Linked DNA regions of Drosophila melanogaster. The protein of the gene in region 4 interacts with the protein of the main gene of each other region in a pairwise test. Each region holds a gene or a part of one and is shown on either strand. Other genes may lie near its edges. The genes, in order: rho-4, CG4586, Rbp9 and LysD.

Region 1 (11,070 bases), on a different chromosome or scaffold from region 4:
TAGGTAAGGGAATAATAAATTTCTAGTAGTTTTCAAGTCATTTTGGAGAGCACATAGTGGTTAATTCATGTACCATATTAATGCATGGGAAATTGGCGAAAAACAAACACTCAGCCGGCACTTCGCGGCACTCACACCTACACAATCATACGTGCGTGTGAATGAAGTTGCTTGTGCTTGTGGTGGTCTGCCCTGTTGCCGTCTTCTTCTCACCCTCGGTGAAAGTTGAGTTCGATGAATCATCTGAGCATCGATCCGCTATGGCGGCGATCTTCACTCTTCGCACTCACTCAACAGGGGGATTCTATCTACGAATCCATCAGTTTCGGCCGCTTCGATTCTAGTTTAGTTAGCACTCTCTTCTGGTTGATTTGGGCAGATTCATATATATATATGTATATAGGTATGTATGATCATACGATTAGCATACGAGATAAGCTGCCAATCCAATCCAAACACAAGGCGCTGGAAATCGGCATTCCATACACATTCCTACTCTCTTTTGGCTGGAAATCTTATCCGATTTCCCTCGCTTCAAACATCAAAATACTCTGTTTGGGTTTCCCGAGCGTTGATTCATTAATCTAGCCATGATATAACAACCAAAATAATATCAAGCTATAGAATATATTTTTTAAAGAAAAAAAATCAGTCTGCGGGCATCCAGTTCTCAGCGAGAACTTAGCGGCATCCAGCTAATGGAGGAGACAGTAGTGGCTTCGCCACAGCAGCCATGCCTTCGTCGTTCCGTACGTCTAGCGGGTAGGATGCGTTCGCAGAACTATAGAGCCATTCCCAAGGTTATGAATTTGCGGCGCAGCACGCGGCTGGCGGGAATCCGGGAACATGCCACCTCCGTTGTTGTGGAAAACGGGACGCGCCTTCAAAGTGCAGTCCAAAAGAAACGCACGCGAAAAGTGAAACCTGCGCCCAAGGCCTGGATGGCCAATAATACTAAATGTTTACTGGGCCATCTTAACAATGGAAACGTTAAGCAATTGCAGGAGATTCCAGGGATCGGTTCAAAGACCGCCTCTATTTTGGCCTTGCACAGGTCAGTTGACATACGTTCATTTGCGTTTTACCCAATAACCCTTAATCCTTAATCCACATTTTTCAGATCCCGCCTGGGTTGCTTCAAGAATCTAATTGAAGTCAAATCCCTGCCCATTTGGTCGGGAAATAAATGGAAACGATTTTCTCAAATTAACTGTCTTGACACTTGATACAATTACTAATTAAATAGCATTTTAATTCGAATATAGTATAGTGATTGTTATTTATGTGGCATATACTTTGATTTTACAACTATAGTAGGAGTAAAAAAAAAGGAGCCGGATATCCTTAAAGAAACAGTTATATATGTGATTTATTTTTTAAATAGGCTTACCTAGGATATATTATATAATATATTAAATTAACAAAACAAGTTGGCATTTTAAATTAAAGCACAAATTGATTGTTATAAAAGTATTAAACAAAAAAAACTAGTCAAAAAAGAAAAACTTTCAAATAAATGACTTATTAAAAGTGACCAAATAAATAATATTCATTAACTTTTTTTTTCAAATTTAACTCCCTTTCAGCGTTGCCAGATTGGGTTGCATGCGGGATTTGATTATTTTTATTCACAAATTCTGGGTAGAGGGCCACTTGTGCTGCTCCGGCAGCTGGTCACACTGTACAGTCGCGCAGTTTGGTTTCTTTGGTGCGAGAAGACGGTTGGTGTTGTTATTTTTTTTTTAGTTCGCTCCGCTGTTTTTAGGTGCTACGCGCTTTATGGCCCGCTCTTAATCTTATCGCAAATCAAATCAAACCGCGGCCAATGAGCACCGTAATTTCACTTTTTGGCTAACGGTAACGGCACTTCCGCTCTCCGAATTCGATATTCAAACAGTCGCATTCCATCGAAAAGCGAAACAAGAAGTGGCCGTAAAAATGACCGTGAAAACAGTGAATCGCCAGCAGAGCCAAACGCCCACCCAGCAACGGCAATTGCATCAGCAGCGGGACGTCGAGAATGGGCTCTATCCCACGATTTCGGACGGAATATGCCACATTATTATCGGATAGAATACAGGAAATGTAGGATTTAGGTAAGGGAATAATAAATTTCTAGTAGTTTTCAAGTCATTTTGGAGAGCACATAGTGGTTAATTCATGCACCATATTAATGCATGGGAAATTGGCGAAAAACAAACACTCAGCCGGCACTTCGCGGCACTCACACCTACACAATCATACGTGCGTGTGAATGAAGTTGCTTGTGCTTGTGGTGGTCTGCCCTGTTGCCGTCTTCTTCTCACCCTCGGTGAAAGTTGAGTTCAATGAATCATCTGAGCATCGATCCGCTATGGCGGCGATCTTCACTCTTCGCACTCACTCAACAGGGGGATTCTATCTACGAATCCATCAGTTTCGGCCGCTTCGATTCTAGTTTAGTTAGCACTCTCTTCTGGTTGATTTGGGCAGATTCATATATATATATGTATATAGGTATGTATGATCATACGATTAGCATACGAGATAAGCTGCCAATCCAATCCAAACACAAGGCGCTGGAAATCGGCATTCCATACACATTCCTACTCTCTTTTGGCTGGAAATCTTATCCGATTTCCCTCGCTTCAAACATCAAAATACTCTGTTTGGGTTTCCCGAGCGTTGATTCATTAATCTAGCCATGATATAACAACCAAAATAATATCAAGCTATAGAATATATTTTTTAAAGAAAAAAAATCAGTCTGCGGGCATCCAGTTCTCAGCGAGAACTTAGCGGCATCCAGCTAATGGAGGAGACAGTAGTGGCTTCGCCACAGCAGCCATGCCTTCGTCGTTCCGTACGTCTAGCGGGTAGGATGCGTTCGCAGAACTATAGAGCCATTCCCAAGGTTATGAATTTGCGGCGCAGCACGCGGCTGGCGGGAATCCGGGAACATGCCACCTCCGTTGTTGTGGAAAACGGGACGCGCCTTCAAAGTGCAGTCCAAAAGAAACGCACGCGAAAAGTGAAACCTGCGCCCAAGGCCTGGATGGCCAATAATACTAAATGTTTACTGGGCCATCTTAACAATGGAAACGTTAAGCAATTGCAGGAGATTCCAGGGATCGGTTCAAAGACCGCCTCTATTTTGGCCGTGCACAGGTCAGTTGACATACGTTCATTTGCGTTTTACCCAATAACCCTTAATCCTTAATCCACATTTTTCAGATCCCGCCTGGGTTGCTTCAAGAATCTAATTGAAGTCAAATCCCTGCCCATTTGGTCGGGAAATAAATGGAAACGATTTTCTCAAATTAACTGTCTTGACACTTGATACAATTACTAATTAAATAGCATTTTAATTCGAATATAGTATAGTGATTGTTATTTATGTGGCATATACTTTGATTTTACAACTATAGTAGGAGTAAAAAAAAAGGAGCCGGATATCCTTAAAGAAACAGTTATATATGTGATTTATTTTTTAAATAGGCTTACCTAGGATATATTATATAATATATTAAATTAACAAAACAAGTTGGCATTTTAAATTAAAGCACAAATTGATTGTTATAAAAGTATTAAACAAAAAAAACTAGTCAAAAAAGAAAAACTTTCAAATAAATGACTTATTAAAAGTGACCAAATAAATAATATTCATTAACTTTTTTTTTCAAATTTAACTCCCTTTCAGCGTTGCCAGATTGGGTTGCATGCGGGATTTGATTATTTTTATGCACAAATTCTGGGTAGAGAGCCACTTGTGCTGCTCCGGCAGCTGGTCACACTGTACAGTCGCGCAGTTTGGTTTCTTTGGTGCGAGAAGACGGTTGGTGTTGTTATTTTTTTTTTTAGTTCGCTCCGCTGTTTTTAGGTGCTACGCGCTTTATGGCCCGCTCTTAATCTTATCGCAAATCAAATCAAACCGCGGCCAATGAGCACCGTAATTTCACTTTTTGGCTAACGGTAACGGCACTTCCGCTCTCCGAATTCGATATTCAAACAGTCGCATTCCATCGAAAAGCGAAACAAGAAGTGGCCGCAAAAATGCCCGTGAAAACAGTGAATCGCCAGCAGAGCCAAACGCCCGCCCAACAACTGCAATTGCAGCAGCAGCGGGACGTCGAGAATGGGCTCTATCCCACGATTCCGGCCGAGCGACGATCGCCCCCCTCGCGTCCGCAAACGCTGCGACAGGACACCATCGATATGGAGGAAATACCGCTCAATCAGACGAACAGCCAGGAGCCAGAGGATCGGCGCAAAATGCACGAGATATTTGACAAGGTATGTAGGACTTATAATACTCGCAATTCCCTTCCCCAGCACAAGTGGCAGCTCCTCCTAAGTATTAGATCTTTTCTGGTTTGTAGAGCCAGCTAACCAAGTAGTAGCCATGGTAACTATACCTATAAAGGTATTACTGTTCACACGGTGTTACAACTTAGCACTATATCTTTAAAGTAAATCTATGATGATTTAACGTTGATTTAATAGTTATGCCACATTATTATCGGATAGAATACAGGAAATGTAGGATTTAGGTAAGGGAATAATAAATTTCTATTAGTTTTCAAGTCATTTTGGAGAGCACATAGTGGTTAATTCATTAGTTAGAACCAGCTACGACTAATTATCCCATTTAAACTGGCTGGTGGTAGGCAACAGAAGGTTAATGCTGAGATCTTGTGAAATTGCACCATATTAATGCATGGGAAATTCGCGAAAAACAGAAGAACGACTGTAATTAAAACACACAGCCGGCACTTCGCGGCACTCACACACACACACTCATACGTGCGTGTGAATGAAGTTGCTTGTGCTTGTGTGGTCGGCCCTGTTGCCGTCTTCTTCTCACCCTCGGTGAAAGTTGAGTTCGATGAATCATCTGAGCATCGATCCGCTATGGCGGCGCTCTTCACTCTTCGCACTCTCCCAAGAAAACCCCACCTTTAACCCTTCAATGGGCCGGCGGGCGAAAACCGACACGATCAGATGCTTTTGTTTGCAAACATGCCAGTGGAACAAACTTAAGGTATACATTATTAAAAAAAAACCTTGTATCTTGTGGTGATTAATAAATACGTGAGATTTGATTCCCGTTTAACATTAATGGGTTAAGAATTCGATTATAGTGCCTAAATAATCAACTGCTATATGTACTTATATCATACAAGCATAATTACACTTTTCGGTGTATTTAACCCATCACCGCTTGTCTGTCAGTCAATTTTGCACTTTCGCAGAATTCCGTATCACATTTTATAAGCTTTTTTTCGCTGCAGTTTGTTTTCTTAAAGTAGAAAAATCGTGTGTGCTGCAAAAAAAAATGGGGGGGAGGGTGGTTGCCTACTGTTGGGGGACTGAGTTTTCTTATCGTGACAGAGGGTTGGGGGAAAAAGACCAGCAAAAAAAGAAGAAGAAAAACCGGTTATAAATTATTGTTTGTTCGCTTTGAGTTCTGCCTTTGTTGTTGTTGTTGCTCTTGCTTTATTCTTGGTGGCGTTAGTCACTTAACCCCCAACTGACACCCACCGCCCACCTGTTTGCCCGAGTGTTACCATTATCAATTTAACAATTTGTGGATTTCGTCTTTTTTAATTCTACCAGTGCGATTGCCTCAACGTGCAACGTCCTCTTGATTCACCATTTGTTTATAGCCATATAGAGTGTGTAGCGTTCATATCGCGTTCAATGTACCCCGGCAACAAGGGGATTCTATCTACGAATCCATCAGTTTTGGCCGCTTCGATTCCAGTTTAGTTAGCACTCTCTCCTGGTTGATTTGGACAGATACGTATATATGTATGTATATAGGTATTCTAACCATACGATTAGCATACAAGATGAGCTGCCAATCCAATCCAAACACATTCGATGCCGCTGGAAATCGGCATTCCAGACACATTCCTATTCTCTTTTGGCTGGAAATCTTATCTGAATTCCCTCGCTACAAACATTCAAGTGGCCAAAATACTCTGCTTGGGTTTTCCGAGCGTTGATTCAATAATCTAGCCATGATATAACAACCAAAATAATAGCAAGCTATAGAACATATTTTGTCAAAAAAAAAAAAATCACCAATCTCAACCAACATTATTCGTTGGAAAGTTCAACTTGAACCCGGAGGGGACTGTATCATTTTGATATTTTTGAAATATCATGTTTGATATGTCACAGATAACAGTCTTTCTGATATGGGAAAATAGCAGATAGATGACCATTTTCGTTGATATTTTTATTCATTGAGCTGTGCAAAAGAGTAAATCTTAAGTTGTCTGTTGGCTAATATAGGAAAGTTTTGGAACTTCAGGTGTTCCAATGGTTTTACAATTAACTTTTTCCGAAAACCATATTTTTTACAAACTGACCAAGTGGCTTTCGTGTGTTCCGAACACACTTGACGACTATGACTAAGTCCCAATCCCCGCGAGACTCCGTTACCGCTGGCAGCTTATCGCCTGGTTTTGATAATAACCAACTTTTTGGTTTTGTTTTTTCCCCCTGTTCTGTTTTATTTTAAGAACACCTAAAGGTGTAAAATATTAGTTTACGACTGGAAAGGAGGATACATATTTATGTGCATGTACATACATGGGCACCTATCTAATTGTCTATAGTATATGCCAATGTCTTTCCTCTTTTTTTTTGCGTGAATCTAACTTTTAAGTGCGAGCGTTGACTTTTCGCTGGGTTTTCTTTGTTATCCCAGTTCCTAGTTATTTACTTTACTAAATACCTTAACCATACTTAAAAGGTCAGTGCGCATAGCTTACCTATGACAAATGTTTTTTATGATCGAAAACCGAGAATACAAAGCGATAAGACAGTAACATCCATATAGGGACTTTCTATTGGCGAAATGGCAATTGAGAATTTCGAACTTCTGAAAGGAATAGGTGACAAATGTTTTTTTTTTAGCAAAATCCTTTTGTATTTACCAATGGGGATTATTGACGTTTTGCAAAAACCATCAGTTGCGTTTAGTTCACAATAACTTTGGATGCCTTTGTGCAACTTCATGTGACTTTGTTTCGATTTGTTTTCGATTAGCCCCGTTTTGGATTTCTAGTTTCTCGTCTCGATCTGTGGCATTTATTCCTGCCCATTTATGGCCACTTTTTGGTCCGACAGCGTTCGCGGCTGTGTTGCAAGTGCTGATGGTGATGCAATCAAAAAGGAGGAAAATCACTCAACAAACATAATAATATGTGGGTACTTGTTTATTTGTGAACTCATGCTGCAGGTTTGAGTGTGTTACGCTATGATTTAGAATAGTTCCTCGGGTGAATGAGATTCATTCGGAGTCTAAGGGAAGGTCAAAGAAAGTGGAATTTTGGCTCTTGGGGGCGAGGCAACTGGTGGCCTGCTCCTCCTCTGGCGCATCCACAGCATCGTGCCAATCCTGGGAATCGTGCTCCTCCTGCTCCTTCTGATCCGTTAGCTGGAGCAGACGCATCCGCAAGCGCTGCTCTTCCAGTTGAATGACTGAAGGCCTAGGAGCAGCCACTTCGCGAATAAGCGATGGCATGGCGGTCGTCCAGTTTGGCAGCAGAGTTAACCCCGTTGCCCTGCCCTGCCGCTCCAGACGCTGCAACTGGCGGCGCTCCATGGCCATCAGTTCCCGCTTGGCCCGGGCCCGCACCTGGTCGTCGCTGGTCGTGGTGCAGAGACTCAGGGCCGCAAAGATGCCGGCCATGCCCAGGTAGAGAACCAGTACGGTCACAATGCCGGACGATTCCTGCAGCGGCTCCTCCTCCTCCGCGACGTCGCATGTGGGCGTCGGTGTCCAGCCAAGCCAAGAGGTCACGTGGCGGGTCATCTCCATCAGTTGCGACATCGTTCTCGGTTGAATCTTGAGGCGAAGATACAAATATATATAATATATGTATGGTTTATACTAAATAATTATGTCATTAACCGATGACACCAAGCAAATGGTAGTTTCTTTACTTCCTTCTAGGGAAATGTATTCAGTAGTTTATTTTTATTACAGCCTAGTTTTAAAAGGTAGGATGAATGCGCTGATATGTACCCAATTGTAATCGGTGTTTCCAAGATGTTGTATTTCAAGATTTTTTGGATTCGGTGCGGGCCTGCCCGACCACTCGGAATTTCAGCTAGGTACTGAGTGTTCGAATCCCTAATGTTTTCGAACCCCCATGACGCTTTAGTATATGGCCTACTGTGTTTAAATGTTGACTTACCCAGATTCTATGTGTGAGCTTAATCATGATGACTAACCAACCATATGTATATGCCTCTCACACAGCACGACTCTGACAGAGATGGGCTGATCAACACGCACGAGCTGAAGGAACTGATCTCGGATGGCTATTGCCGGGACATTCCCGCCTACATCGCCGACCAGATCCTGAAGCGCAGCGATCAGGATAACGACGGCCACCTGGACTTCGAGGAATTCTATGCGATGTCCCTGCGCCACAAGTGGATGGTGCGCAACATGCTGACCCGCTACTGTCGCTACGTTGTGCCGCCACCGAAGCCCTTAGAGGGCGATGAGCCCGACGGTGCCTACGAGAAGCAAATGTCCATCTGCCCGCCGCCGCTCACCATGGTGCTCTTCTCGATTATCGAGATAATCATGTTCCTCGTGGACGTCATACATTTCCAGTGAGTAGTGATGGTACAATTGGTTGTATATGATAATAACACTAGTAATCTGCTATGTTCAGGGACGATCCCAACTACCAGGATCGCATAGGCGAGAGCACAAGTGGACCAGCGGCCACCCTGTTCATCTACAATCCGTACAAGCGCTATGAGGGATGGCGCTTTGTTAGCTACATGTTCGTTCACGTGGGCATCATGCATCTGATGATGAACCTGATTATCCAGATCTTTCTGGGCATCGCCCTGGAGCTGGTGCATCACTGGTGGCGCGTGGGTCTGGTCTACCTGGCTGGCGTGTTAGCCGGTTCCATGGGCACCTCGCTAACCAGTCCTCGCATCTTTCTAGCGGGCGCATCGGGTGGAGTATACGCACTGATCACAGCCCACATTGCCACGATAATTATGGTAAGTCTTTGTTATACTATTTGATATTATTCCATAATTACCTTATGGTCGCCAAACAGAACTACTCGGAAATGGAGTACGCCATTGTCCAGCTGCTGGCCTTTCTGGTCTTCTGCTTCACCGACTTGGGTACCTCGGTGTACCGCCACTTGACCGACCAGCACGATCAGATTGGCTATGTGGCGCATTTGTCCGGTGCCGTCGCCGGTTTGCTGGTGGGGATCGGTGTGCTGCGCAATTTGGAGGTGCGGCGATGGGAGCGCATTCTCTGGTGGGTCGCCGTCATCGTTTACTTTGCCCTCATGACCACTGGCATCATCATACACGTGTTTGTTCCCGACTACTTCCCAAAACAGGAGTACAACTAGCCCCATCACTAGCTCTAGCCCTAGCCCTAACCCTTAACCATGTCCAAAGTGCACTTCGATATTGAGCCGAGGTTGCAGTACGCACAGTACTATATATAGGATTTCTTCTGACCATGTGCCTATGCCAGCTGCAAAAATAATTTATTTTTTTACAACTTGCCATGTCAGCTTCATTCCCAATCCGAAAGTGGTGCAAGCATGTCGTACGTATTTTTATATATTTATATACATACATACATATATAGTAACGTAATTATGCCTTCCTCATAATTCTCTTATACAAAAGACCGACCGCGGTGGTCCGCCGTATCGATTCCTTGTTACTCGATATTGCGCATCCACTTAAGCCGTAACCAAAACCCAGACACTAGGCAGGCACATACATAGCCACGTAGCACATAAGAATTCTTTTTCATATGTATGCACAAAAGCATAAGCAAGAAGCGCTCTCGCGCAGATCAAGTAAACAACCCACTAACCAAGTACATTTAAGATTTTCTCACACCATTTGTTTCAGTCTTAAGCTGATATTCAATCAATAAAAACGCAAAGCGAATTCATTCGAAGTTTTTATTCATTTCGGTTCAAATACGGATCATTTATTCGACTCAAAAGCAAAAATTATTTTACTATATGTATTCTCGATCCACATGACGCGACGCGGCGCAACGAAATGTCGACGGAGAACAAAACTCAGAGCTGCATTTGTATTACACATTTCGTTGACATTTTTTTTTTTTCAAGAAAAACGAGAAATATCTTTAAACAAAGTGTACTGTATATTTTTGGAGATTTATTATTAAGATCTTATATATTTAAATGTAATAAAAACAATGTCTTTGTACGAAGAAGATGGGTGTTTTGCGTATGATTTTTATTTTTTTAATTGTGTCATTCATGTTCAAATGTAATGAGTACAACTTTGATCTTGCCTTCGTAGGACCAGCAAGACCAGGCAGAACTACTTACACGCAATCTTACATAAGTACTATATTTTTATAGTGAAATTTATAGTTCACTTCCCAAAACAGTGGTTTAAGTCGATTTAGTATGATCCAGCAATTAACCCATTTATTTATTATGTTTACATGTTTTTCTTTTCTGTTCATTACAAGCTGTCAATTTGTAAGCAGCGTCGCTTGATTGCATCGTTCACAGCTTGGGACAAAGTAATGTACTGAATGTCGTTCAAAGATATTGTTGAGAGTGTGTTTAAATGTGGTGTTCGGAGGTGATGCTTCTCGAGAAGACTCAGTCTTGGCATTCTCTGCTACTGGGAGGGCTTATATATGAGCTAACTTATGGCACCTAGGAATAACTAGTGCGTTAAACGTTCTTACTTGTTTTTCAACTGTGGCCGTTTGAGGAAGGTAACCATGGTGCTGTTGAACATGTTCACCTTAACAAACGTAACAAATGTTGTTGGTGCCACATCGCGCAGTATCATCAGCAAGCGCTTGGCGGGCAGAAAGGTAACGCATTCCGTGTGGTCCGTTTCAATGCAACGGTCATCGGGAGCACAATAATTAAGGTCATCGTCCAGCGGAATTCCCGGTACAGGGCGCTCCACGGGGATCACATCCTTCTTACTTCCCCTGTACAGCTCACCCGTTGCACTCAACAGCTGGGTAACCAATCCTAGGCGGAACACGCGAAGCTGCGAGGCATTCTCGCGAAC
Region 2 (8,015 bases), on a different chromosome or scaffold from region 4:
TGCATTACACATACAGTTTTTTTGGGGATACAAATGAGAATTAAATGCGCTATGTTAAGTTTATTGTGTAGTTTTAGGCGAGAATTGCTAAGGTTTTATATAAAACTAAAATATAATATGAAATAAAAAACTTTTTACAACTGGCAAAAATATGACATGTTTATGTTCGATTTTACAATAAACTTTTTGTATTTTGTTTTGGGCATAAAAAGCTTACTTATCGTAACTACCTAAGCCAAAGAGTATGAAATTGTTTTCAGTGTTTGAAATAGTTGTCTCGGCTAAATCTTTAGGGTTGCGTCATCACTAGATATCTATCTGAGTTCTAATCCATTTTGTCATCGAATCAATGGCATTTTTAGGCACATTTTCTGCACATCTGGTATATTTCTCAGGAGAGAAATAAATAAATAAAAATTAAATTGGCTAGTTAAAGTGTTTTGTTTGCTGTAAAACGCAAGCACAACGAGGATAGCGGAGCACACATACCGCGCAGGAAGAGTGTGAGATCTGGATTTGTCATCAGTCGACCCGCCCACCTCTTAATTAGGCGAAAAACCTTGAATTCCCTGGAGAGACCCCTGCTACAATGGGCAATAAACAGATAAAACAACAACTGGAGACGGCCCAGAAGACGGGAATCCTGAAGATATCCTTGCAGCGGCTGCAAGAATTCCCACTGCAGCTAAGGGCCTACCCGAATGTCCTGAAAACCCTGGATCTCTCCGAGAATCGCTTCGAACGTGTGCCCGACGAACTGGGCAAGCTGACGCTACTCAAGCACCTCAATCTAAGCGGAAATCGACTGGTGGAACTCAACGAGGTGGTGGGCGAACTGGCCAAGCTGGAGGTGCTGTTGCTGATGGACAATATGCTGACAAGGCTGCCCAAAACCCTGGCCAATTGCACGCACCTGAAGACCGTGAATCTGAGCAACAATCAGCTGAAGGAGTTCCCCTCCATGCTGTGCGGTCTGAAGCAGCTGGATGTCCTGGACCTGTCCAGGAACAAGATCACCGATGTGCCCGCCGATGTGGGCGGACTGTTTGTGACCGAACTGAACCTTAACCAGAACCAAATATCCTCGCTGGCGGAGGAAGTAGCCGATTGTCCCAAGCTGAAGACACTGCGGCTCGAGGAGAACTGCCTTCAGGCAGCGGCCTTTACACCCAAGATCCTCAAGGACTCGAAAATCTGCAACCTGGCCGTCGACGGCAATCTGTTCAACTCGAAACAGTTCACCGATCTCGATGGCTACGATGTCTACATGGAGCGGTATACGGCGGTCAGGAAGAAGATGTTCTAGACTCGATTCAGATCAAATCCCTTTTTTTTTTGTGTGTACCCCAGCCTTTATTTATCCGAGTAAACTAATTTAATAGCTTAATTCAATATGTGTAATGTGTAAAACGATACGAATAAATCGGAAAAAGACAACTTTAACAAGGGCGAGCAAGTAAGTTAGTTTGAAAATGGTAAGTGCAAAATAACAAACAATTGCGAAATCCTATTTCCTTTATTAAAAAAAAATGTTATGATTCAACTTCAATACAAAAATTAGTGAATAACATATACGTATGTAGAAAACAAAAGACCAGCCCCACATCACAGCTTTCCCCGCATCATGGGCAACAAGTGGTTGTGGAAGGACGAGTTGACCGGCTCCTGGTTGATCGGATTTCGGCGTGCCTCCTCCATGAGACGCTCGTACACCCGGCCATCGTGACACCCCAGCGTGGAGCCCAGGACACGATCGTGAAAATCGAATCCATCCACCAGAGCCACCGCATTGGGTCGCAGCTTGGCCAGCAGCTCCTCAAAGCGACGCTCCACGAAGCGCAGTTGGGTGCCAGTGATGCCGTTGTTCCAACGCAGCACGCATCCCGACTGTCGCAGGAATGTATCGATGACGAAAAGCTCAACCAGTTGGCCCAAGATGAGTGAGACATTCGGGCTAAGATCGCCCTTCTTTCGAAGTGCTTCCACTTGCTCCAGTGCATTGCGTGTGAAGAATGCGTGAGCATGGGCTATGGCAGCCGAGGTGAGCTGCCTTCCAGCCAGATTGCTGGCCATCTCGGGACTCACCTTGCCGGATTGGTGCATCTTCTGGGTCTGCCAAGCATCACGCACCTGCTCCATGGCTGAAATCTCCAGCGCTCGCACACAATTCGCAACCAGATTCTTGCCCCAAATCAAACGGGCTGTATCCCTCAAATAGGAGACACTGGAGGGCAGCACCTTGCGTTTTAAGCTATCCGCATACTGCCGGACGAGGAAACGAGCTGTCTGGAGCAGGAGTACTGTGTACTCTCCCTCGTAGGTGTATGTGGCGGCGGTCAGACCATAGATGCTATCGAAATTCGCCGAGGAAAGGAATCCGTGGCCACCGCAACTCTTGCGCAGCAGATCAACTCCCTCGCTGGCCTCGTCGGTGGCCACCGCCTTGAGGCAGCAGCTCAGGGCGTGCAGCTCCGGCAGGGAGTTGCGTCCTTTCGTGCTTTCATCCTCCAGTTGGCGGAGTACGTCCTCGTAGAAGCGCCACAGCCAATCGGATACCAGGCGATAGGACACTCCTCGAGCAATTTGCGGTAGAATCTTTGCCTGCTGTGTGATGTGATCCAAAACAGAGACCTCCGGCTGATCGCTGTTAATCCGGCTCTGGCGACGCACCACGGAATACCTAAAGATAATGATAATTATTATCTAAAGAACCCTGGGTGAGCTGAATGTGTTTTATGGGCTTAATAACAGCTATGATAAACATAATCCCCAGAAACTATATAATCACCTGGTGGCAATGGTGGCAGCCTGGAGCAGTCCAAAGAGCACATCCTTCACGGTAATTACCCGCACATAGACCATTGTGCCGTAGAGCAGCAGCGGAGGTCTACCCTGGACGAAGGTGCCGTCGGTCAGGACTTGGGCGTTCTTCATCAGCATTTGATTGCGCGGTATCCGCACGTCGCGGAGTCCCAGAAAGCCGTTGTTAACGCCATTGCCACCCAGGCGAGGTCCTATATCGCCCACATCGACTCCAGTCAACGGTTCGTGTGTCCTCTCGTCCCTGATCCTCACCACAAATGATTGCAAGCCATAATGCTTGCCCTTCACATATAGCTGGGCCAGCACAATGGCCACATTGGCGGTATTACCAAGTCCGCCGGGCCACCACTTGTATGAACTTTGCGTTGGGGTGTTCAGGATGAATTCCTGCGTGATGGGATCGTAGTCGGCTCGGGTTTCCAGGCCCCGGACAAAGGTGCCGTGACCCAGCTCCGTTTGCGCATAGGTGCCCAGGACGCCGTCCATGTGCCAGGATCGATTGAGCCACTGGGCCTGCTGCTCCTCGGTTCCCTGGCTCAGCAAGGTGGTCATGAACATGGAGAAATGCACCCGAAGGGGGAAGCTCTGCTGGAAGAGGCCCGTGCCCAGGGATCCGGAGAGTAGCAGCCGAAAGTCCCTCAGCATATTCACACTAAGCTGAAGTTGTGGCTGCTTCTCCCGCTGCCATTGGCGCAGTTTGGCCAGGAAGCGTGTGGATCGGGCCACGGTCTGTTCGTAGCGCTCCTTGTATGACAGACAGCTCGGATGCACTGGCTCCGCGAAGTCGGGATCCTCATAGAAACGCCTTTCCAGGGCGCGGCGCTCCTCCAGCTGCCCAGAGCCACCCGCCCACCAGCGGGCAAAGTCCTCGCTGTCCAAGGTGGCCGCCGCCCGCTCTCTCTGCAGATCCGCATTCACAGACATGATCGCTCTATCTCTCCTTCCCGATCTCTCTTTTCCTAGAGTTTTACTTTTCTACGGGATTTCCCAACTTCTCTGCTCGAACGACTCGATTGCACTGAGAAGTTGGTGGCTGGAAGAAACAGTTCTGCAGCTCGAAACATGGCAGCCAGGTCACCAAAGGCGGGGATAGCAGGGGAATATGGTTGGTTATCAGTGATCCGAAATTAAAGATGAGTTGCCAATTAATATACCGGGATTCTTTATACATTTACCACATTATACTCATAAAGGATGCAGTGTATAAGCTATTTATGGATAACTTATACAGAAGAGGCGATCTGGAACCCCTTTGGATGGTCCATCCTGCCTACGCCTTTGGAGCCCCACCACTGCCTCTCTTTCGCGCTCTGCCCGCTGGTGCTCCAACCGCCGTTGTTGCTGCATTGGAGTCACTGAACTGAGAACTGAGCCACTCTCAAATTGCTTGAGCGCCTTAGGGTGGACCATATTCCGTATTTGTCGAAAGTTTCTCAAACTGCGTCTTTCTTACAAGATGCACTTATCATGTTTTAGATTTCGTATCCTAGGTTGTATATTTGGACGGAATTTGTTTCTTACTATTAACTCAAACGCTGATTTGTGTGTTGGTCCACCCTAGCCAAAAATGGCACAAAGTGCGTAAACATCTGATGAGCGGCATTATCTCCTAGTTTTTTAGTTCAAGTTTTTTTTACCGTAGATAAGAAAATCGTAAATATTTCTTGTTGTTTTTGTTTTGCAAAAACCCACAAAGCTCAACAAACAATTATTTCTTTTTCGTACAATAACATTTTTATTTCGTGGATTTCTTGTTATCAACATAACGTTTCTCAATTGGATGACGTTTAGAAAATCTAAGATAACCCTATGGGCCATTGTCAAATTGTTTATAAATAGAAACTAAAAGACATGGAAAGAGCGATTTTATTTATATAAATAAATAAATATATTATTATACATACGAGCTTCTGCAACCTGGATTTTAGGACAAATTCTCAATTTAAATTTCCCGCTCTTCAAGAATGCAACATAAAATATAAAAAAACACTGGCCATTTTAATAACTATAAAGAGTAATTATTATAATATTATTGATGTGCCAAAAATGCAACGTGAATTACAATTTATTTTACAAGAAAACATAAGTTTTGTAATAAAAAAAAGCTTAGGAGTACCCCTATTAAAAAGTTTTCAGCATAAAAGCTCGTCGAATGTGTGACCAATTGTCGGAGTAATTTAGTGGCGCCCGACGAATGGCCACACTGCCGGCCAGCTGATCGCCCGCGTGCAGATTTCTCGACTTTATTTTCCTTATTTGGCTGTTGTTGTTTTGGGCCGCCGGTACCGCTTAGCTTTCTGTCTTCCTCTCTCTCTGTCTTTCTCTCTCGCTCCCACCAACGGCACCGCCATGGGTAAGAACACGAAGCGCAACAAGAAGACAAAACAGCAGCAACAGCAGCCACAACAAAACGGAGTAACTGCATCCGCATCCGGCACAGCAGTCGAGGATTTTGAGGACCAGCAGGCGGCCAGTTCGTTGCCCAGTTTAAACGGCAAAAAGAGGAGCCAACTAAACAAGCTCGTCGAGGAACTGCTTGACTTGGTGGAAAAGCAACCGGCGAATCCCAACGAGGAATGGAAGCAGTACGGGCAGCTACAGGAGCTGCTCAAACAAATCATGATCCTGGAGGAGCCACTCAGCCAAGCAGTGTGTCCGCAGATCAGCGATTCCCCCGACGATCAGACCCGTCTGGCCAAAGTGGAGGCGTTCAGTGCGTGGGCCAAAGATGGCGGAGTTCACAGTGAGGGACTGGAGATAGCCATCTTTCCCGGCTACCAACTGGGTCTGCGGGCCACCCGACCGTTGGCCAAGGATGAGCTGGTGCTCAGCGTGCCCCGGAAGCTCATCTTATCCGAGGAAAACAACTCCGATTGCCGCCTATTTGGCAAAATGACGCAGGCCACCCACTTGAACCTGGCCTATGATCTGGTCATCGAGAAGATCCGTGGCGAGTTCAGCGAGTGGCGGCCCTACATTGATGTTCTGCCTGCCAAATACAACACCGTGCTATACTTTACCACCAAGCAGATGGAGCTCCTCCGGGGCACCGCTGCAGCCGCTCTGGCAATGCGTCAGTGTCGCGTCATCGCCAAGCAGTACGCCTTCCTCTACAAGTACGCCCACACCATGACTGAGCCGAGCACCGGGAACAGGAGCCATCCGGGCGAAAGAGGCCTCTTTTTCACGCAGCACGGACTCTGCTACAAGCTATACAGGTGAGTTTCGATTGAGATTTGGGATTGCAATAAAGGTGCTAAAGGTGCCTTAAAAAAATATCGCTACTTTTAAAGTTTGTTCTACTAAGTTTAAGAAGAAATATGATTCTGTGCTAAAAAGATGGCTTAAGGCCAAGTTTTCTGCTCTGAAGATCTTTTCAGTTGGCCTAGAAATAGAAATATTGTATACCTTTCCGGAATTCCATTTTTAAATCCTGCCCTCGTGTTGATCTTTCCCTAAGTGTGTTTTTCGGTTTAGTTTGGGCTTGTTTTTGCTGCAGAGAGGCCTCTGAATCTGCCAGTTGTCCCACTGGCCATAAATTACATGTTCACTTACAGCTGGTGCTGTTTGTTTTAAAGCGAGAGTAGATGCATATGGCCAGATTGCCCGACCATTGTTGACCTTCCCGTCTGGCATTGTGATCGCATTGTTTTGCCGAAGATCTACGATCTATTTACGGATCCGCTTCCACTTGCGACGGCTGGGTCATGGTGCACTGGGATGGGTCTGGTTGTGGTTGTGGTTCTGGTTCTCCACTCGCTTCTGTATTTATAGTGCCGCGATTTCGACACCAATCTTCGGTTGTGGTCGAAAACCCCAGCGAGTCATGCGGTTAGTCAAGTGCTTTCGAAATGCTTGAAATCTTTGCCACAATTTGTTCTACATTTTATTTCTCAAAAAAATCAAATTGAAACTTATTTACATACATATTTGAGCGTGCTTAAATATATAATTATATTTATATATATAAATATATATATATATATATATATACTGTCGCCAGATGTTCTACTGCCTAGTGAGAGGGGCGGGGGTGGTAACGAAAATCAAATCAAAAATAAAGTGCCTGCACTACGAAATAAATACAGGTGTTTCATCTATTTTCACTTCTTGGTTTTTGCAGTACATTTTGCGCATTTAAAATATTAGTGTTGTTGTTGTTGTTGCTGTTGGTATTGTTGTGCTAATGACCACGCCCACATAGCGCCCATTTATGCCTTGCCTTGATCTAAATTCAATTAAATTTTGGTATTTTAGTCAGTGCCAGAAAGAAGTTTGCTTCAGTTAAATCGTATCGAACACAGTTTTCTTCATTTTCTTTTGGTTTTTATTTATTTTGTTTTCGTAATTTCCTCATTAATATTTATTGTCCTCATAAATGGTTTTATTTTGCTTTCTCGAATTTCAATATTTATTCGATTTGGGCCTTTTTTTGGGAAAGTGTCTGAACACAACTGTACCTTGTTTGGCTAAGATCCTGTTCTGTTGTTCTGTATTTAAGTTAGTTTTCGTCTTTATCTCGTGCTAAGAAACCCATTTGAATGCCGTGTCCTATGATTTAGTTGATAGAGTCGCGTTAGTTGATGGATCATAATCGTACATTAGGTCTAGATAGTTGGAAACGATAGTTTGCCGAGCTTAGAGACTAGCAACAGTGCGCGCCATAAACGTAGGGCGGATTGAACTAGGTTTTGCGGTCTACAACGATACAAATGAATCAGAAAATAAATAAAGTAAAAATAAATAACATAAAGTGGACTATACAGTTTACATTCCAATCTGTCATGAAAATATTTAAAAATGAACACTATTCTTTTTAAACTGTATGTCTGCACAATCTTTTTGAACCTTTTCTTACAAAGCGCCTTATGGCCATGCCACGCACTGTCTAAATGTGTTTTCTAGGTTGGTTTTTTGTTAGTTTTACTTTCTCTCACAGAATGTTCCTCTAATCGAGTTCAAAAAAATTCCACCTCCTACCTGCTTAAACTAATTAATCGACTAACTTTTGCTCCTTCGCGTTAGAGTGTGTATGCTTGTGTGTGTTGGGGGGATGTCATTGTGTGTGTGTGTGTGTTAAGTGTACATTTATATAAAACTTGGCCTAAACAACGGTCTATTGTTACTAGAGGAGCCTACTGCCTATTGCCTAATTGTCGAAGGATTTGCGCAGTGTGTCGAATAGATATTCC
Region 3 (8,051 bases), on a different chromosome or scaffold from region 4:
AAACGGAAGAGTTGCACTCATTCAAATAGAAATAACCGAAGCAAATAATATCTGGAATATTATTGATCAATTTGTGTTGATGGTGTGTGCCGTTTGAAAAATGAAAAACCAAGCCAAACCGAAACGTGAAACTAATTCGTAATAACAATAATAATAAGGAAATAAAACCGAACGGAAAGTAGAAAAGAACGCGTTCCTGCAACTCAACAGAACAGAAATAAACTGATTTGCCGAGCGGCGTGGAAATTATTTTTATGCCCCACCGACGAGGGCAATCGTACTGCTGCCTCATGTCCAAGAATCGGGAGAGCAGAGCCCCAAGAGCTACAAGAGAGCGCCGCTTCTTGGCCAGAAACAGAATTCGTCATTGTCGAGCGCTCTTCGCCCGCTCGGGGAAGAGAAAGCCACCCGATGGGAATGGATCAAACTTACACGGCTATATGTTTTCCTACAGCACGAGCACATATATCCGCAAGGTGGATTCCTCAGATGCTCGACGGCGGAGGTAATTTATAATTGGATTTTGCGCAAACATACACACTTACGTGCACAGTATTTCTATAATTGCGTTATGGGAACTTCTTTTAAATCGAAATTCGACAGAGTATCTGCTTGACTCCAAAGTTACGAATGCATTTCTGGTTCCAAAGACAGCTGCGCATAATCGGGGAAATCTGTTTTGCAAAGCAGTTGCTCAAATAAGCCGCCTTCCGGTCATGGTAAGTGCGTTTGTCCTATCTACTATTTAATAATTAACCGTAAACTAATGTGTACATTAATATGTTAATTAAAAAACTGTACCATATATTAGACCTCATAGACTGCATCAATATAGAATCAGTTTTTTTACACTCTTTAAGAATATCTGACACTCCTTTAAATTTCTTAAACTTTTTGGTAGCTCCTGAAGTCCTTTTCTGTTTTCAGTCAACCGAAGGAAGCTTCCTCTTTCCTCCTCTTTCGATTCACGCCCCCAAAATAAGGGGGCGCAACCATTAATTTTCATTCATAAATAGTTGGAAATTGTTTCCGGCTAATTGATGGATTTGATGGCACATACCTATGCAGACACACACACACACACGCACTCACACTTACGAATACTGGAAGAATGGGGAAGAAGTGTTCAAAGGGCAGGAACAAAACAAAAAAGTGACACACCTTGGCAAAGGCAAAGGCAGCGGATGAAAGGAGAGACAGAGAGAGAGAGCGAGCGAAGGAGTTCTGGACAAGTAACGGGTCAGCAAAGTAGAGGAACTTATAAGGACGGCGGCTGAGGCCGTATGCATTTGATTTGGGTGCGGCAAAAATAAACAGGATATATGGGCGGAGAGATAGAGCGGGAGAGACAGTGAGAGCGCAGGCTGCAGCGAAAGCGCAGCAGTCAGCTGAGCGCGCCACAAGATATGCAATGGCTATTGAGCGCCACAGAGAGAGAATGGGAGCCAGAGAGCGAGCTTAACTGCAAGCTGGCGTCGTCGTCGACGGCAACTGCGCTGCCTAAGCAGGGCCGTCTCGAAGGGGTCCCTCCGAGATCAGGGGCTCCAATAATCTCTCAGAAATCCTACTACGGAAATTAAAGAATTTCTTTTAAAATAAATAAATCCGATAATTGCACTAGAAAATTTCAAGTCTTGTAACAAGTTCTCGAACTTCTACCATTTGAAAATCTACATCTAATCAAGGGAACTTTGTGCCACATTTGTACGAACTAGCTTTAAGGAAACTTTTATATGGAAAACAGGTCAATAAATCATTATTTTTGGGGATCGACTCCCTCTGAAGAAACCGCTCCTGTGCGGCGTTTTTTAGGTTAAATGGCGGCTGCAGGCAGCGAAATGAAAACTGCGATGCCGGCGCTGCACGAAACGCAGCTGCATGGACTTCTGTGTGCTTGTGTGTGTGTGTAGGCGGCAAATATATATCAGAGTGTAGAGAAATTGAGATTTCGCCGACTGCAAGCCGCCCCATTGAGCTCCGTTTTACTATTCGCACACATACGAATGCAGGCGAAAAATCGACTTTGGGTGTGGGCACTTTTGCAAATAAAATGGTGTAACTGTAACTGTAACTACATATCCGTAGCATTCTTCTCTGTTCGCTTACATTTATTCGCCAGCGCCGCAAAGCATACAACACCGATTTTCCCAACTCGACTCGAAAGAAAATGGTTCTGGAACTGGGACTGGAAAATGTTCTTCGTTGCAAATGATGTAGTTTCAATTTGAAAACTGAATTGAGCACGCACACACTAAGGGTTTTCGAACTGATTTCGATACTGATTCGGATTCCACACTACGTGCAATTGGACACACGTACATGTATATGTGTATGTGGGCGTAGTTGCGTGAGTATGCAAGATGTGTGTATTTTGATACCGATATACAACAATTCAGAAACGACGACAATACGACGAGAATCAAAAAACACAACTTGCTGCCGGAGAGTGCAAGAACTAAATGATTAAAGTGTTCGATTGCCGCCAGGATAACTGCAGCCAGGACCCGTGACAGCGCTGCCGCGCCGCAGTCCGCGGCCCCAGCGGCAGAGCTCCTCCTCTCCTCCAATTGGCGTACAGTTGAGCACGGCCCTGCAGAGGGCGGGAGGGGGGCGGTGGCGAATGCACAGCATAACTGCGTAGTTTTGCTCTCGCATGCACAGTGGGACAAATTCAAACATTGAGCGCGAACTTTAACCCTTCTACTTTCTTGTGTTGCAAATATAGATAATAATATTAGACTGACCTGACATATGCTAAATATGTATTGTTATATCCAAAATGTTGTTCTATTTTATTTGAAATAATGGATTTCGGTCCCAACTAAACTCAAAAGACAACCTATGCAACAATTTGTAAATGTATAGAAATAAGTAAATGCACCTGACACGTTTCAGGATAAGCTTAAATGCCATTGCACATCAGTGAGATGCAGAAGTGCTGTTTTATTTTCAATATACAGCTTGGGCACAGTTGCACCATTGTACCATGCGAGAAGTAACGGTCGCGAAGAAGAAGGCAAATAATAAAAAGCTGCAGCCGCAAGTTGCGCAGCCTGCAACAGCTCCGGCAACATAACGGTACTCGTTCGCTCGCTCTCTCTTTCTCCTGGCTCGGCACTTAACCGATGTACCCTACATTTGGCTTCGCAAAACATAAACAAGGAAATGCAGCCGTGAACACGAAACGAATTGCGGTAGGTTCTCCGTTCGGCAAAGAGCGAGCTCCAAAAGAGGCGAAGAGAGCCGGGGCTCGTAAGCCGGCCGCATTGCTGTTGTTGGAGCTGAGAGAGCCAGCACGGCACCCAAACAAACACTTAAGCAACAACAACAACGGCTGCTGACTGAAGGGAAGGTGCCAGAGGGGCTTTAAACCCAAGAGCGCAAGCTAGAAAGAGCATCAGAGAGAGAGAGAGCAAGGCAGGAGCGTAGGACGAGCTCAACTTGACATCATCATCATTTGTGTCAAAAGACCATTGAACTTTGCGAGCGGATGGAACAGAACAGCTCCACCCCCATCCCGCTGCCTACAAGTATGCAACAATACCTCGCTCTCCTTATTTATATGCGGTTTGTTTTGTTGCTGCTTGCACACCATCACAATAACAGCAACCCACATGCATGCACTCACTTTGCATAGGTGTTGGGGCCCAATGCATCTCAAAATGTTGCGCTTTTAACCCTTACCTAACTGATCAGACATGTAAGGCCCTTTCATGAAAATGTCCTGTGTTTGGGAAATCGGGAAAATCCCCACGATGTAGTTATAAATGACATACTATAGATTTGTGTACAATAAGTGGCTGTGTTAAATCTTCTTTAGCGAATAGGTTTTTATGTAATTCATTCTTGTTGCCTTACCTTACTTGTGATGGATAATGGTCGTGTTCCATTGATGTTCAATAATATAACGCCCATTGCAGGATTCCTGAATAGGGTTCAGATATGGGTTCCTGGCACTACGGCCTTGAGCTGAAGATGAATGTTCTTGCCTCTGCGGATGTGCATATAAAATTCGGTTAATTTAATTATTTAAATGAATAATTGATTTTCAGCTTACTGGTGCTTCCCACTGCGACTGATTCTGACGTGAGCCGCCAGAGTTCCAGCTTTGGTTGTCATAAAAGCCCCTAGATTGGTTGGGATAAAGCCAAGATAGCGGTGGTTGTGGTAGATCCCCTTTATTGGGCTTCCTGTTGTTGTTCCACGCTAAGGAAGGCTGCTTGATCTTGTTGCCGTGCTTCTCCTCGATGTTCGGGGACACATTCTCGCATTTAACTTGAACCTTGTACCACGAGGCGTCTGTATGCTTACGTTTGATGGTCATATCCTCCTCGCTGGTGGAGTCATACACGTGGCCCTTGATGGGTCTCTTTCTCTGACAATTGTTGACTTTCTCTGGCTCTGGTCCTCCTGTTAATACCCCTGGAATTTGCGGATGTGCCTTACGTCGTTGGCGCTGATATTGCCTTCTCTTGTTGCGAGTGTACCTGGGGATCTCACCCACAAAATCGCTTTGATTTTGCATTCCTTATGATGAAGTTGTAAACGATGAATTCGAAGAATCGACACCACGCTGTCGAAAGCACAGCAAGTAACACGTTGAGTTGCTAACACTGACAGACTACTTTGGCGACTTACCAGCACTGATCGATTAATCATGCAAAAAGTTTTTCTCGTATTGATCGAAACTTCCTTTCGTCATGAGCATTATCAAGATAAGAAATCGTTTTAATTGCATTCGGCTTCAAGTGTTCCCCTAAGGAACAGGAGTTAAGAATTTCCAGCTTTTGTTTGAAACAGATGGACATGAATTTATAACCTTGCCTGGTCACACTGAATTTTTAAAGCATCTCCTTCCGTTATTACAACCATCCATAGTGTTAAAAAAAAGCAAGACACAAAAGGCAGTTATGTAAATGTTACAATTTTTGATGTTTTATTCGTTCGATTTATCAACTACTGTTACGGTAATTGCATATTAAATTGGTTGTTGTTCTGTTGTTGCTTAAACTTTAATAAGTGTACTTGGTTTTAGCTGCGGCTGAATTTAATTATATTTGTACAAAATATATATTTACTTTTAGCTTTGTCAATGAACAACATGTTTTGCATTCATTTTGGTTTTCTACTCGCTTTCCACGTTCCAAAGTCCAGCTTAAAACTTAATTCTGTTGGTTTTGCTGTTCGATCTGTCGGTTCGGTTTTGTTTTTGTTTTTGTTTGGTTTTCTTTTGTTTCGTTTCACTACAATAACGCTTAACAAAATAGAATTATTAACTATTACTAGGCGCGTTTCGTTTGTTTTTGTTGTTGTTGTGGTTGTTGTTGTTGTTCTTGTCGGTTGCTTATTGCTGCACGTTAATCTTGTCACTTCGAAAAAATTTAACTATGATTTCTACGTTGTTTAGTTTAATTCATCGTGTATATATATAAAAATATATATATATTATATATCTTTATATATACCAATATATAGTTATTTATAGTTAGGCATGTAATTATGCTTACTTTAATTATATGCATGTTTGTGTCCGTGTCTTCCCGCCTACGTAATTGTATTATTTACATCGTTTTAATAATTAACAATACATATGTATGCATGTGTACCAATTTATAATAATTACACTTATGTAGTTGCACTGCACAATAAAGTTGCGCAAATTCTCCATCGGCATTCGGCACTCGTCATTTTAGTGATAACTTAAAATTTGTCTACAATTTAAATGTTTGTTTTCGGTTTCATTTGTCGAATGCGAGCGAATGCCTTGTTTCCCCAGAACCATTACTAATATTAATTTAATATTCTTTCTTACTTTGTTTTGCTTTCCGTTTTGTTTTTCGTTACATTTTTGCTTTGATTTTCGTAGTTTCGATTTCGTACATGCCAAAATAAAAGTCAACAAGAAAATGCTGGCTGCTCAACTCGGTCAATATATGAATGTATTCCAGAATCCTACCATCCTACCATCGTACCATCCTATCCCAATCCCCACTCATTTTCAAATTCTGCTGATTGAAGTTGGCTTAAAGTAGTTTACAGCGCTCACTTTTTGGCATTTAAAAATATATTTCTTGTATACTGGCGGCTATATGTACAGCTTATATAACTATTTCGAGGGCAAGTCTATTTCGATTGATTTTTAACTCGTTTAAGTCTACTAATGCACTATTAGTTGTTGCGTCTGTGTGAGAGTTTTGAGGCACCCATTATGAATTTATGAATTATGTTGGGAATAGACTGTGGATGAGGTGGTTTTATGGATGGGTTGAAAGAAATAAAACCAAAAGAGAAATACAATTGCGTGTATATATTTGAAATATATATTAATATAAATATATATTGTTTTCATTCATGTATTTTGTTCTAAAAACGTGTTGTGATTGCTTTTTAAAAATTAATTTAAAATTAATAAAATAGTTGCGTTAAACATAATTCATATAGAAATATTATAAAGAATTTATAACTATAACTTTTCTTTATATATGCCATAATATGTATAATTATATTTGCTAACATTTTTCTTTACCAAGGCTGCAAAGTAAAATTAACTAAAACTTAAACAATTTAAAAAGCCGTTCATCTTCCTTACTGTACGCATACGAAAACAAAATTCAACTAAAATGTTTATGTTTTTGGGTAACAGGAAAAGGGGGTAGGGTGGGCGGGGGGGGGGGGGGGTGGGCTGGTTGGGTTTTCGTTTTTGAGCTTACAGACTAGACGTAGAGCTAATATAACTTTTAATGTGTGTTTTTGTTTTTCTTTGTGGTAATATCAATTAAAACTAGGCATAAATATAAAGCTTAACATGCTTAAACAATCGAAAATTGAGCATAAGGAAATAAGTAAATGGTGTGCATATACAATTACATACATATATAAATTATAAAGTATTAACAAATCAAATTTTTGTGTTGTTTTTGTTGTGGTTATAATCGTTCTGTTGGAAGGTTGTTGGTTTCGATTTCATTTCATTCGTTACTCCTCCTCCTCATCTTGACTAACTAAATTAGTAGCTTGTAGTAGATAATAGTTGCTAATTTGGCCTGACTTTCATTTAGACACGTTTGGTGGTGCTTCCGTCTCCGCCTTCGCCTCCGCCTCCGCCAACGCTTCCGTTGCGTTTGCGGTTGATATTGCCGCTGTCGCTACTGCGACTGATGCGTCGGATGCGACACGGCATCCCTGAGCGTCTTGAGACCCGCCTGCACGTACCGGAACACCTCGTGCATGGTGCTATGCAGCGTCAGCGGGCCGTTCTCGTGATCCAGTTCTCGGATGAAATCTAATGGATTCAGACATTGATCATTAATATATATCATTAGGCGGACGCCTAAACAACTCACCTATATGATTGCCTGTGCGCACCAATCGATCGGCTTGATCCCACAACTCGTGAGCGCTATTTAGATAGCTCAGAAACTCATTCTGCTTGCACAGCATATTGTGTATATCTGGAGGCACTATTCTGCCTGGCGGCGTATTCGAACCGGAGCCCTGAAAACAGAGAAAAGCCGCAATGAATAAACGAAATCCGCACATGAGTAGCTGCCAACTGAGAGACTCACCTGCGAGCCCACCGAGTTCGATGGTGATATGGAGGACGGCGTGTTGCCGTTGGCAATGTCCCCCCTGCCAACGCGAAAGAAATCTGTTAGACTGTTGATAATGGCCCGACAATCCTTTCTTCTCAGCTTATAAAGCTTTAATGATATCAACGACTGGCAGCGCAAACTGCTCGACGAGATTGGGGAAAAATGAAAAGTGTCATTAGCAAGTGTACTTCGACTTGAGTTAAGTTAATTGTAATGATCTACCTGAGAATGGCCACTTTGTTGTGCGTTTCGTGCTGAATGTTGGTCGTTGACTGCTGCTGGTAGGGACGAAACTTAGTGGAGATAAACCTGCAAGTTGATGGCATGTTATTGGTGAGTTCTGCTCGGACCACTTCCGTCTCCGTGGGCGCACATTTGTTGGCACACTTTACTCACTTAATTAGCGACAGGGTATCCTTGTACATGGTGTTGGTGGCCTGCTCGGAGCTGCAGCGCTCC
Region 4 (5,710 bases):
TGGTCAAGATCCAGATGGGATCTGCTCTTTCTGCTCTTTCTGCCTTATGCGCATGCTAATGGGCTCCGACTTTCTTTTAACTGCTGCCCAAATCTAGATGTGTAGGTAAATCCCCGTGTGGGCAGTTCTGACATTGAACTGTGACGCCCACACCATCAACAACTGGGATAGAAACTCTCGAGCGTTCCGAGCAAAGAACCCAACGAAGAGGTGGCATAAAAGTCGTTAAGACTGGTGCGTGTGCGTTATAAAAGTATGAAAACAAATTACGTTTAACTGTACTCATGGAAATTGAAGTGAAAATTGAATTGGCAGCGGCACGAGACTTCAAAGTCTCCGGAGCAGCCCCAATCCGAGTAACAATGCCACTTTGTCCAGACGCGAGAAGACAAAGAAGAGCCCACAAAAGAAACTAGATTGTAAATAAATAAATAAATAACAGTCATACTCGGGGCCCAAACTGAAAAATGAAAAGGCGACTGTGTGCCGAACTACAGAAAAATCTGTTCCGGTCTGATTTAACAATTGTTAAACAGCTTATGCATTGGCCACGGTCTGGAGTCCAAAGGGAGGAGTACGAGTAGGTGGCTAATGGCTGCACGCAACCCAGCGAGTGGCCAACTTACTTTCAGCCATACCCGAAAAAGAAATTTCTTTCTTCACGCGATTTTGCGGTGGCAAAGCCATTCTTTTTGCCACCTCCTTATGGACTTAGACTTCCTTCTTTCAAAACTGCATCACAGCCACATTAGTCAGTCCATCACCAGATGTTGGACACCTTGACGGGCACTGACAAATGAAGCAATTGCTTGCTGGCACTGGGATTGGTATTGGGTAACCGCACTGGGGCAATAATGGCATGGAGGGGCCCTGAGCCTCGGGCCTTTGTTAGACCCAGACTAATTGAAGCCAATGGGCCACCGAGCCGAGAGGCTGAAGGGCCATAATTGAGATCTGAGATCAAAAGGGCAATTGGCCAAACAAACAGTCCTCCGTATCACCAAAGCTGCTTCCACCAATTGGCATCCATTCATAGCAGGTGGACTTGAAACTTGTAATACGTCAAAACAACTGCGAGGGGGTTCACCGACGAATTTCCGTAAGACTTTATTCATATTATCGAATACTTCACTCGAATTATCAATGGAATTATCAATATGGTCTGATTACCAAGAGATTCTTTGCGACACGTCCAGATTACCCACACCCATCAATACTGTGAAAATACTCCACAGATAACACTACGGCTAGATAATTTTCCGGCTATAAAAGCGCCCTGTCCACAGGAATCCCACATCAGTTTCAATTCGAATCATGAAGGCTTTCATCGTTCTGGTTGCCCTGGCCTGTGCCGCCCCAGCTTTCGGTCGCACCATGGACCGTTGCTCCCTGGCCCGCGAGATGTCCAACCTGGGCGTTCCCCGCGACCAGCTGAACAAGTGAGCCTGCATTGCCGAGCACGAGTCCTCCTACCGCACCGGAGTGGTTGGTCCTGAGAACTACAACGGCTCCAACGACTACGGAATCTTCCAGATCAACGACTACTACTGGTGCGCAATCGTTTTAATCGGGGTCAAAATCAGTTTAGAAGCAGTCATCGATGGACGGCAACCATCCGCTGCAGTAGTGCCAGGTGGACCAGGCGGACCATCCCTGCTGGCTGAGGACCTTCTGGGCACAACGGACGGAGTGGGTGATGTCGTCGGTCAGGAGAGCGTTGCAGCTCAATCCGCATTCGTTGTAGGAGAAGCGACCGCTGGGAGGAGCGCACCAGTAGTAGTCGTTGATCTGGAAGATTCCGTAGTCGTTGGAGCCGTTGTAGTTCTCGGGACCAACCACTCCGGTGCGGTAGGAGGACTCGTGCTCGGCAATACAGGCCCAACGAGCCAATTGGTCACGAGGAACGCCCAGGTTGGACATCTCGCGGGCCAGGGAGCAACGGTCCATGGTGCGACCGAAAGCTGGGGCGGCACAGGCCAGGGCAACCAGAACGATGAAAGCCTTCATGATTCGAATTGAAACTAATGACGGGAGGGAGCGTAGGCCGTGCTTTTATAGGGCGGTATTATCTTAACTGGTAGATCTTCACAATGTTATTATCTCAAGTGCGCCGCGAAGTCTTTAGCTACTTATGTATATTATCGCAAGTGCACACGAGACAGTAAATAACTGGCTATTGCAAATGGCCAGACGCAAGCTCATCAATCTACATCGCTTATCAGCACCTAGCAAATGGTCTCAAGCCGCTCCCTGAAGATTCGCAAGCATAGACGTAGGTAAAAAGTAGATTAGCCCCATCCCAGCCAGCAAGACCCTTGGGTTTTTAGAGCAAGTGGTATTAATTTTCTGACTTAAACGTTGGCTATCCGAGCCATTAACCTTGTTAGCATCTCCGCTAGCTTTTGGAGTGGGCAATTACGAGTCGTTGGTGGGCAGAAGCTCCACTTTGGTGCACCTGAGTGAGCTGTAACTGGACAGAGAGTGCGAGCTAAAAAGAACTCTATTTGGTGCGGGCTGGTTCATCTCTTGTAACGGGCGTGCGTTCAATCGCCAAGCCACTGGCTCTTCAAAGACCCCAAGGCTACCACACATCATCAACAGTCACAACAACCTGGCTGCACATTGCTTTCTCGGTGGATGAAGCGGATGGAGTGGATGGAGTTGGAGTTGAGACTCAAGTACCGACTCTGACTAACGACCCGACCACAAGTATGCAAACTGCGGGCTGTTACATTAACCCCATTCGTCTCCGCGGGGAGGGGCTCTTAGCGGTACTCCTGGGGGTTACCAGTGGGCCTAAAACCAGGCGCGTCTGGTGGGGGCAGGTTGGGAGCCCAGATTTCCACTGATTTGTGCAATGCCAAGAAAGTTGTTAACCTTTCGCGTGTGGCTAACAGCAAAGACAAATGACAAAAGGCTTCTGTGGAGGCATTCGAAAGACGCCAGTTGCGAGATTTTTGTGGAGGAAAGGGAGGCCCCAAGACAAAGTCGTTTCAGGTGGTTGGAGCTCTCCAGCTTGCCAGCGTGACCTTCTTAGAGTCCCATGAATTATAGATGAATTCATAAATGAATGCTGGTTGGTGAGCGAGTGGGGCGCTCATCGGCGAGATGAGTTGTAGATTCTTTTGTCGGCGGAGAATGCTGCTTATCACTTTTACTTTTTGCTGATTTATTGAATCGCCGCTGTATAACTAATAGCTTTTCTATCCCCGAAGTGTGTCAGCTAACAGTTCTGACCAAGAAGAATTTTCTGACGACCAGACCAGACCTCATTGCATATGCATGAGTTCTCTTTGGAACTTTGTGCCTGTGGAACTGACAATCGACCCAGGCCAATTAAATCTCATTTCCATAAATTTTGTCGCTAATTGTCAGCCGAACTTTGAGAACTTTTGGGAACTGTTAGGATAATGGCCACGAATCTTTAAAGATGGTACAAGAAGCCGCCATAGCTGTTCTTGCCCTCTTAAAACGGCTTTCCATCCCATTTAGTAAGTAATCACAGTCAGTCGAACTAAAAATGGCCAACGTTAAAGAAATCTGTAAACAAACTTCGCTGATAAGGTCGCGTAACGTATCTGATTTGGAACCATTCGCTACACCTAAGTCCTTATCGCTGAATTTTCATGGCTAATGAAGGGGCGATTGACAGCCGCAATATGGTGATCACCTTATCACGGTTGAGTACTTATACGTTCTTCTTAATAAGGTGATGGTTCAGGGTATATAAGGGCCCATTGCGAGGACCTCTCCATCAGTTTACTGTGGTATTCAAATCAAAATGAAGGCCTTCATCGTTCTGGTTGCCCTGGCTATGGCCGCTCCTGCTCTTGGTCGCACCTTGGACCGTTGCTCCCTGGCCCGCGAGATGTCCAACCTGGGCGTTCCTCGTGACCAATTGGCTCGTTGGGCCTGTATTGCCGAGCACGAGTCCTCCTACCGCACCGGAGTGGTGGGTCCTGAGAACTACAACGGCTCCAACGACTACGGAATCTTCCAGATCAACAACTACTACTGGTGCGCTCCTCCCAGCGGTCGCTTCTCCTACAACGAGTGCGGATTGAGCTGCAACGCCCTCTTGACCGACGACATCACCCACTCCGTTCGTTGCGCCCAGAAGGTCCTTAGCCAGCAGGGATGGTCCGCCTGGTCCACCTGGCACTACTGCAGCGGATGGTTGCCGTCCATCGATGGCTGCTTCTAAACCGATTTCGACCCTGAATAAAAATTTAGCTCAAAAAAATATTCATCCTTAGACTTTCTATATCTTTGCTTTTTCAAAATTCAAAAATTATTTCAATTTCACCGTGTGTTCCTTTACATCAAAAGATACACAGAAATGAACTTAACTATTGATGAATGTGTGACATATTTTGCATGAGCCGATCACTTTCTAAGTTTGTGAATAGAATTTTATTGGAATTCGCTAATCAACTTGAAAGCGTCTCTTCGGCAAAAAAAAGTCATTAATATATGCGACAAAAATAAACATTTTTAAAACAAACAAAGATAAAAGCATCGGTTGTCCATAAAATTAGCTAGTTGCTGTTCGCAACTCTTTCCCAAAAGAAAGTAAACTCGAAGCGCCGACTGTCAGCGGGTCAAAGTCAAAAATAACCTCACCTAAGCATATTCATTATAATTCCATTGAGCTTGGACTTGTCTTCTCAACTATGTACGTCCAAAACCAGTAAAACTGGTGTTTCTTGAGTGCAGAACGCGGCTATGACACTTTGAAATTTAAATGTAAGGAGTCCCAAAGCCAAACTTCCGTCTTGTGTACTTCAAAAGTCAACTAAAAAGCTTCAAAACCAATAATGTTGTATCGCTTATACAAATTACTAATAGCCCGAGGTGTCCATGGAACAAACATTGTGGACACGTTTTGCAATTATTTATCGATTGGAATCTCACTGCCTTGGGGTGTAATTCGGATTTTCAGCTGAGAGAAAGTGAAAAGAGTAAGATTCATTCATCCTTAATTCATCTTCATTTCAAATCAGATACAACCAAACAGAAACTGAGACCTTTGGATTGAAATAGCATTAAAAACGAATGTCCAACTCAAAACTTAAAGTCTCTCGTTACAAGAAGAACCTTTTTAAACCTTCGATAGCACACCAATTATAACCATTAAATATATCAAAGAAAAAGATCTGTAAAAAAATACCCGAACATCTTATCAAATTATGAAGTGGATGCCAATTGTTTAGAAGTTTGAATATGGTATATATTAAAAGATATATCGCGTTGTGCAAACTGATTTTAGATTTTTTCTGGCTCTCTAGATTTGTTGAATCTCCATTCCCAAAGACAATGATATATTAAGACATGGGAATTTGGTTTCTCCTAACATCGATCTAATCTGGAGACTCGACATGTTCCTTAAGATTACCACAGACATTACTCTCTGGGTGCTGATCATTACATTTCACTCAATGTGTTCAGATATTTCTTCGTCTTTATAAGCTAACAGTTCTAAACTTTTCCTGCTGTTGTCTTTCTCCACACGCTTTCTAAATGAGAGAAAATCGAAGAAAGAGCAGCAGCTTCCCTTCGCTTCCATTCGCCTTTCCACAGGCCGATGACTTTGGGTTGAACCGGTCAATGAATTCTTAATGTTGCCCAGCACAGTGGGCAATAAATTATACAAGTAGCCATGTCTCTCACTCTGGTGATAAACGTACTTCAGCTGGGCACCACATCCCAG

Evidence for each region.
Region 1: the proteins of LysD (region 4) and rho-4 interact in a two-hybrid assay, tested with the Drosophila melanogaster proteins (one large-scale study listed by BioGRID).
Region 2: the proteins of LysD (region 4) and CG4586 interact in a two-hybrid assay, tested with the Drosophila melanogaster proteins (one large-scale study listed by BioGRID).
Region 3: the proteins of LysD (region 4) and Rbp9 interact in a two-hybrid assay, tested with the Drosophila melanogaster proteins (one large-scale study listed by BioGRID).

What each region holds. Positions count from the first base shown.
Region 1 is NC_004354.4:11,596,055-11,607,124, forward strand, and holds rho-4 (rhomboid-4), read left to right. Parts: upstream 1-3,783; 5' UTR 3,784-4,032; coding exon 4,033-4,272; intron 4,273-7,188; exon of another isoform or gene 7,189-7,282; coding exon of another isoform or gene 7,283-7,825; exon of another isoform or gene 7,826-7,840; intron 7,841-8,020; exon of another isoform or gene 8,021-8,140; intron 8,141-8,257; coding exon 8,258-8,619; intron 8,620-8,681; coding exon 8,682-9,024; intron 9,025-9,083; coding exon 9,084-9,392; 3' UTR 9,393-10,234; downstream 10,235-11,070. Other genes in the region: CG2533 (uncharacterized protein), read right to left, coding at 7,283-7,825; CG2247 (uncharacterized protein), read right to left, coding at 10,729-11,070.
Region 2 is NC_004354.4:6,965,750-6,973,764, reverse strand, and holds CG4586 (uncharacterized protein), read right to left. Parts: upstream 3,848-8,015; 5' UTR 3,748-3,847; coding exon 2,789-3,747; intron 2,681-2,788; coding exon 1,606-2,680; 3' UTR 1,500-1,605; downstream 1-1,499. Other genes in the region: CG3040 (uncharacterized protein), read left to right, coding at 590-1,306; Setd3 (SET domain containing 3), read left to right, coding at 5,173-6,041; CG14431 (uncharacterized protein), read right to left, coding at 7,973-8,015.
Region 3 is NT_033779.5:2,951,320-2,959,370, reverse strand, and holds the start of Rbp9 (RNA-binding protein 9), read right to left. Parts: upstream 4,610-8,051; 5' UTR 4,058-4,609; intron 3,992-4,057; 5' UTR 3,864-3,991; intron 2,461-3,863; exon of another isoform or gene 2,107-2,460; intron 225-2,106; exon of another isoform or gene 1-224. Other genes in the region: lilli (lilliputian), read right to left, coding at 7,146-7,282, 7,344-7,494, 7,566-7,731, 7,815-7,901, 7,989-8,051.
Region 4 is NT_037436.4:1,209,171-1,214,880, forward strand, and holds LysD (lysozyme D), read right to left. Parts: upstream 2,027-5,710; 5' UTR 2,008-2,026; coding exon 1,585-2,007; 3' UTR 1,547-1,584; downstream 1-1,546. Other genes in the region: LysE (lysozyme E), read left to right, coding at 3,782-4,204. UniProt on the Drosophila melanogaster protein: Unlikely to play an active role in the humoral immune defense. May have a function in the digestion of bacteria in the food.